Saccharomyces cerevisiae S288C: one gene and its partner. Each later gene encodes a partner of the first gene's protein in a complex. Each region holds a gene or a part of one and is shown on either strand. Other genes may lie near its edges. A codon is read from its position in the direction of its gene.

Region 1 (4,437 bases):
ATGTCTTTATGTTCTTTATGACTTTGTTAATTTGCAGATTATGAAAGCAAAACGGCAAAAATAACGGGTAAAGATTGATTCAAATCTGAAACAGCAAATTCATTTACCATCCCATCTAACGGTGCTCCTTCTGAATGGCCCAATGCAAACTCCTACAAAAAAATTGCCATTTTTTTGCACAGACCACGCCGCTCAGCCTCGAGAAACATTCCTCGCGGCATTTCCGTGAGATCTCTCAATTAATTTCTTTTTTTAGATTTTTTTCCGTTTTCCGTTTGAATAATTTCGCGTTTTCGTAGAGCGCGACGGCCTATAAATAGACAGATTTTGAATTTCCTTTTCGGGCTTTTAAGATTCACTCCCCAATTTTTAATAACGGACATTTCGTGCTTGGCGGCTACTGAGTACCCCTCTCAAGAAAATGAAGTGATCGCCAAAGCAGTTATCATATTTGTAACTAGTTATACATGCTTACATATACACAGATATATAAAAAATAGATTATATTTGCTGAGGGATTCTCAGTCGAAAAAATAAACGTGCGTCGTGGAACTCATTGAAGGCATCCATTAATCATTTCTTTTTCCCTTTCTTCTTATTCTTCTTATTCTTCTTCTTATTACTGTTGCTGTTGCCAGTATTTTTTTTAGCTTCTTTAGTGGACAAAACGTCATCTGTATTTACTTCGGCTTCCGTTGTCTCTTGTTCTTCCGTGACGGCACTGCTTTCAAGAGAAGCAGAGGCCTCAGTTTTTTGGTGGGTAGTACTCTCACCAGAGGCAGCCTCCTTGGAAACGTTGTTGATATCGTCTTCTGCCTCTGAACCTTTTTCTTCTGGTTTTACATCTTCATTGGATGGCTCGACTGCAACACTTTCGGTAGCATCTTTAGGTTCGGCTTCAAGTTCTATATCTTCTTCTTGATGTCTTGGAGAGGCAATGTCGGTAGTAAACTCGTTGGTTTCTTGTACGGGTTCACCGGCATCCTCCACAGGTTCACTGGTATCTTCCACAGGTTCATTGGCATCCTCCACAGGTTTGTTGGAATCCTCCACAGGTTTGTTGGAATCCTCCACAGGTTTGTTGGAATCCTCCACAGGTTTGTTGGAATCCTTCACAGGTTTGTTGGAATCCTCCACAGGTTCATTGGAATCCTCCGCAGGTTCATTGGCATCTTCTATAGACTCATTTACTTCTGGAGTTTCAATTTCAGCTTCTGGACGTCCAAATTCCATTGCTGCATCATCTGCAGGTTCGTTATTTTCCCCTGCACTTTCTGTGGTTATGTTGTTTTCAGCTACTTCTTCAGTCTGTACAAATCCATTATCAGCTTGTTCGTTAGAATGTGTATCGGTATCCTCACTTTTCTGTCCCGTTGCTTCTTCATTTGGAGAACTTTCAGCCACAGCTTCATTCGGTTCTTCTACCACGGCTTCTGCGGAAGAGTCCGCTTTGTTTTCCTCTATATTGGGAGTACCAACAGGTTCGCTTTTCAAACTTCTTACGGAGGGGTTGACGGTTTCGATGGTGGTTTCATTCTCCAAAGCCGTCGAAGCATGCAATGGATCTTCTACAGGACTTACTGGGGCAGTTTCATGTCCACTCTTTTCTCCTTGTTCCTTAGCTTCTGAAGGATTACTCTCATTGTCATTAGGTGATGCAACCTGTTCGACATCTGTTGTGTCCTCGGGCATCTTATTTTCATCCGCTACTTCGGCTACCGGCTCATTCTCCTTTGAGTACGAAAGTTCTTCCTCATTAACTGGTGGGAATGTGTAGTTTTTCAGTATACTTTGATCTGCATCTAAGTAAAATCCTCTAACACCAACGATTCTTTTCTCAACCTCACAAGCTCTCACCCATTCCGGTCTGACAATTGGTATGTTGTTATGTTTTGCCCTTATAAGCTCTTCATTGCTTTCTTCATTGTCTAGATCGTTACAGACAAAATGCGTAGTATCTATCGCAACATGACGTTGTAAAGGTCTCGCCCCGATGTGAGACAAACATTGGGATATCTGTAAGTCTGAAATTTCTTTCAATGGATCCAATGGACCCAAACATACAGTGATACCAGACATGTCAGTCATCTTATGTGTACGCAATATAACCTTTTCAGACCATAATGTTCCTGACGTGGTTATCAGTTTCAATTGAAATTCGTATGGCGTATCAACGGAAAGACCGGATATTTTCGTGGTAGTCACTTTGAATGGATTTGGAATTACCATTGAACGTATTCCCTTCCTATAAAGGATCAGTGATTTCAATTTTGCTGAGCCAAGTTTCAATGGATCCCATGCTAGAACACAGCTCGTTTGCGTAACGTTAACAATTTTCAAAACTGGGCTCTCCGGTTTATGGGTACCATACTTCTCCAAAATTTTGGCTTGTATACTCTTAAAATGATTCCTTTGTTTTTTTTCCTCCTCTAAATTTTGTGAAACTTGCATTTTTATGATAGATCCAGCTTTAACATTTTCTGGTAATAATACTGTAGGAAACTCAATAACATGATGATCCTGAGTAGTCAGTAACGCCAATGAGGCATCCAACTTACCTACTGTTAACAGTACATCAACTGAAGACATTATTCGCTACTCGACCAGGTTCTAAAACGGAAACGTAACATGCAAGCTAAACCGCGATAACATTTAGCATCTACGCAATAAATAATGAGGCTTTAGAAAGGAGAACTTGAAGGGCCGACCGAACTTGTTAAAAAAGAAGTGCAGCTACATAATTTCCGTCTTAAGTGACATCTTTTTAGTGGTCGACTCGAGGCTACTGGAAGCAATAAGATAAGGATATGGCAATAGCTTATAAACGGTATCATATGAACATAAAGCGCATTGCATAACTATTGTTAACTAAAATTTTAATTGCCCAAAAGTATTTGATTAAATTATATTTTATGCATGCTACTTATTGTACGTTACAGCCGGTAAGGAAAAAATTTGAAAATTCTGAATTGGAGGACCTCTTCTTCGACACAGAATTTGATACGCGGTTGTTGAAGATTTGTCTTGGGCAATCATGTTAAGCATTATTGGAAGAAGTACTGAATTGCTCGTTAGGGCGTAGGATATCGGAGCGAGCGAACTTTGTTGCCACTTCAATCGGAGCCTTGAAATCATGGAGAAGACCATCGGGTATTCAAATTCCAATTGAGACACTATTAAAGAGGAAAAATATTCATTAAAATGAGGAATAACCTGGCTTATTTCGACATAGTTTCCCTCTTTAGAAAAAAAATTGACAGTTGTTGATAACTCGGAAAGGTAATAGATTTCAGGATATCCTTTGGCATGCGTATGAAGCTCTCTGGGTTTGCTTATGAACGTACTTATCTGAGCATCCGTTAAAATTGTACATTTTAAACTGAGAATGACGTGGTTTTCTATGGTGCTTACATCTTGAACTTGATAAAACAGTTGTTCCTCCCAAAAGCGAATACTTGAACCTACAATCTCGCGCAATTTTGTAAACAACTCTTGCTCTTCCGTAACTAATCGATCGTTCATTTTAAAATTCAGTTTAATCTTCACTTTTCCTGGTACGAGTGACAAAGCTACCAGTTATTATAGTTAGTAACGCTTCATTCACGGATGGGTTTTAATTTTGCTAGGAGAAACATACTTTCAACATTCCAGGTGGTAGCAGTGGAATATATAATGAATTAGAGTCGGTTGATTCCGGTCCCTCAATGCGTACGGTTGAAGTCCAAGCAGATAACAATTTTCCTGCCTCATCATTATTTACAGCGCCACAACTTTCTAAAAATACGGTCAAAAATGTGATATCTCTTGCCATTAGATTAAATTTTGAAATGTTGGAATCCAATGGTGAACTAACGTGCTGTTGCGCTTATTTCTTACTGTTTGTTTTCCTTCCATTTTTTATATTTGGTATAACCGCTGAAGGTTATAGAAATTAGCTCTTTAAGAGAAAAAGGCGAAAAAATTAGTGTAAAAGTGAATTATACTACAGAAAAAAAAACTATACTAAAACACAGATAGGTAAGTCATATGTCACATTTCTACTCGCTTGTACCCTCCAATTAATTCCTGTAGGGGAAAATTGGAAATTGTAAAGAGAAAGATGAAAGAAAGAACGAAGCAATTCCGGACGGCAAATCATTCTTTGTTTCCAAGAACTTGCTTAACAGGTTCGGTTTGGTCCACATATAGTCTATGTTCTTGGATATACCTGATGACCGAATTAGGTAACAAATATTGTACAGACATGGCGCGTCTGATAAATAGACGAACTTTCGTGGAAGAAATATCATTATAGATGAGTTGCTTGATGATAAGAATATTCCTTCTATGTTCATACATAATATCATGGGATAACAAAAAAGACCTTACATCAGAACCAGTACGTTCGACAATCAAACAACCGTAATTACCGAGAATGTGATGTAAATCGGCGTCCGC
Region 2 (2,678 bases), on another chromosome or scaffold:
AATTTAAGCTACCTATTATGTGATAAAAAATTAAATGTAAAAAGTTATGGGTGTAGATATGTATGGGTCTGAGATTAATACAGTCCCCAGATTGAGAAAGTTTTCGTGAAGATTATTTGTTGAGTAACAACAAATCAAAGATCCTCTTCAGTCTTGAACAGTCAATTGACACAGTACCACACTATCATTCTGAATTATCATAATATGATTTCGTGTGTTTTAGGTTTTAAAAGTATCTTTTGAGAACACGGTGGACCTGAGAGCGAAACGTCAATATATGATTCACGCAGGGGTGCTGTAAAACAAATGAAAATGCGTTGTATAATATCCTAAATATATCATGTTTCTTTGTTTCTATATCAAATTGCCATTATTAGTTAAAGTAGTTTATACTAGTTAGGCTTCTTCAGTATTTTTTTATTTTATTATCTTGGTTTTTATTGCTTTTACACTAAAATCTATATGTGTTGGCTGGTGATCGTCAATAAATCCATCGACGTTGGCCTCTTAAGTTCTTAATCTTTATGTTTCATTTAGTTTATACAAGCGTATTTGATCCATATTCTAGAATTTTTAAGTTGAGTTTTTCAAACTGTTACTTAACCATTCCAAACCTTCATACAAACCTTCACCGGAGGTAGCACACGTGGCTTGGATAAACCATGGACGGTTTCTAATAGAATGTAAACCTAGTTTTTCAGTGATTTCAGCAGCAGACATGGCTTCTGGCAAATCTTGCTTGTTAGCGAACACCAACCAAGCGGCGTTTCTCAATTCATCTTCGTTCAACATTCTTTGCATAACTTCTCTAGCTTCACCAATACGCGATCTATCGTTAGAATCGACAACAAAGATAACACCTTCAGTGTTTCTGTAGTAGTGTCTCCATAGAGATCTAATTCTGTCTTGTCCACCGACATCCCAGACAGTGAATGAAATGTTCTTATATTGGACAGTTTCAACGTTGAAACCAATTGTTGGAATGGTAGTGATAACTTCACCCAATTTCAACTTGTACAAAACGGTGGTCTTACCAGCACCATCAAGACCAACCATAAGAATACGCATTTCTTTGTTACCAAAAAGGTTACTGAACAACTTAGAGGCAAACAAACCCATTTTTAATTCTATTAAACCTGTTTGAGTTCTTTCTTATACCTTCAATGCCAGAGGTTCCAAAAAGTTTCAAAACAAAATGAACTTTCTATCTAGTAAGACTTATAAAAACCACCTCGATAAACAAGTGGATCGAGAACGTGTCAAAGATTCCGTTTCTCTCTCTGTTTTTCCATTTTTCGATTTTCATTTTTTTTTTTGGTTTGACAAATACAAGCCACCTCGTTATATGTGATTTGCAACGCGAAAAGAAATAAAAAGGGAAGGGTAATAACATGGTTTTTCTACAATAAACTGCTATCATTACGGTATTAGTGGCTTCTTGAGAGCTTATTGCGTGACTTTTTTTACTAAACTATTGAAAAATGCAACTAAGTAGCTAGCTTAAAACTATTGCTATCATTATCATTATTACTACTGTTATATATGTGGGCAATGACTTTCTTAAGTATCAGACGAGAATTCAACTGTGCAAAATTAAAAGGTTGAGCGAGATACTTATCTTTTCGTTTAGCTCTTAAGTATCATTTACCAACATTCACTTTACATCCTGCGTACTGTCTTAGGCCGCGGATGAAAACCGAATATATGACTTCGTTGTTATCTTTTTCCCAATAAAATTCGGTTAATCTAATATGCCAAGGTGGGAACCCTTGTAAATCCAACGAAGGCCCGAAGTATAACAGTAAATCTGGTTCGGGTCCAACTAGTTGTTTCAGTTCTGAATCAACTAAATCCATTGTGATGTCAGAAACGCTCAATTCGTTAACCGCACATAACTCAGCCATAGTTTTGGTCAGATCGACAATCGTTTCTCTACCATCTCTGTTAGACAATAAAGAAATTTCAATAGCAATTTTGTCCTTTTCTTGGTTAGCTTCTATCTCATTGCCTACATCAGTCTCGGTTTCAATTCCGTCTAGATTGTAGAATATCTTGTTAGAATGAGGTATTTTAACAGCGTAGTTTGGAACATGAGCTGGCCCAAAATATTTAGCCAGGTTGGAATGAATTTCCATTCTCAGCTCTGGAACATTTCTTTGTAATATTCCATCGTAATCGTACAACATCAAATGTTTTATACCAGCTGAAACAGTCCAGCAAACAATTTCACTCGCGTCATTTAATAAACCTGTCACACCGCCGCCAACGTCGCCAACTGGCTTGACTTCCAAGATAGCGGCCAACCTTTTAGGAATTTTTTTCAGAGGAATAACGTCCTGTCTAATCAACTGTGGTGTATATGCATGGTTGTAGATGATACTGAATATTCTTAGTTTCATTTTATTATATTGGTATTGACCGTACCGAAACAACCCGAAGCAGATGTATAACAACACAAGTAAAAACTTGTAAAAAAGGTATTCAAATTTACCTATTCTTTTACTCAAATCTTCTGTCTTTTGCTTTTGGACTCCATTCGTCTCATTGTTCACTTTCTTCTGAGGGTTCTCATCGGCGTCTGCAATGATACTTGTAACGGCCTTTAAAGCTCTGGTTTTTGAATTAACTTTACCGCCCTTTAAAACACCAGATTCTGGAGGTGGGATGTGATTGGAAGA

Evidence for each region. Proteins that work in one complex are often made in the same cells at the same time.
Region 2: the proteins of CHS5 (region 1) and ARF1 are in contact, whole or in part, in a crystal structure (PDB 4Q66), measured with the Saccharomyces cerevisiae proteins. Residues at the interface, in NP_013434.1 of Saccharomyces cerevisiae: Thr92 (codon at 2,316), Arg119 (codon at 2,235), Lys133 (codon at 2,193), Ser135 (codon at 2,187), Gly136 (codon at 2,184), Met168 (codon at 2,088), His214 (codon at 1,950), Asn235 (codon at 1,887), Asn236 (codon at 1,884), Ile237 (codon at 1,881), Pro238 (codon at 1,878), Ile254 (codon at 1,830), Val255 (codon at 1,827), Tyr261 (codon at 1,809); in NP_010089.1 of Saccharomyces cerevisiae: Arg73 (codon at 903), Asn95 (codon at 837), Asp96 (codon at 834), Arg97 (codon at 831), Ser98 (codon at 828), Arg99 (codon at 825), Ile100 (codon at 822), Pro131 (codon at 729), Glu132 (codon at 726), Met134 (codon at 720), Glu138 (codon at 708), Lys142 (codon at 696).

Annotation. Positions count from the first base shown.
Region 1 is NC_001144.5:785,816-790,252, reverse strand, and holds CHS5 (Chs5p), read right to left. Parts: upstream 2,590-4,437; coding exon 574-2,589; downstream 1-573. Other genes in the region: REC102 (Rec102p), read right to left, coding at 2,920-3,540, 3,638-3,811; nicotinamide-nucleotide adenylyltransferase NMA1, read right to left, coding at 4,135-4,437. UniProt on the Saccharomyces cerevisiae protein: Component of the CHS5/6 complex which mediates export of specific cargo proteins, including chitin synthase CHS3. Also involved in targeting FUS1 to sites of polarized growth.
Region 2 is NC_001136.10:114,762-117,439, reverse strand, and holds ARF1 (Arf family GTPase ARF1), read right to left. Parts: upstream 1,120-2,678; coding exon 574-1,119; downstream 1-573. Other genes in the region: NUS1 (ditrans,polycis-polyprenyl diphosphate synthase), read right to left, coding at 1,641-2,678. UniProt on the Saccharomyces cerevisiae protein: GTP-binding protein involved in Golgi vesicle trafficking. May modulate vesicle budding and uncoating within the Golgi apparatus. May recruit the lipid transfer protein VPS13 to Golgi membranes.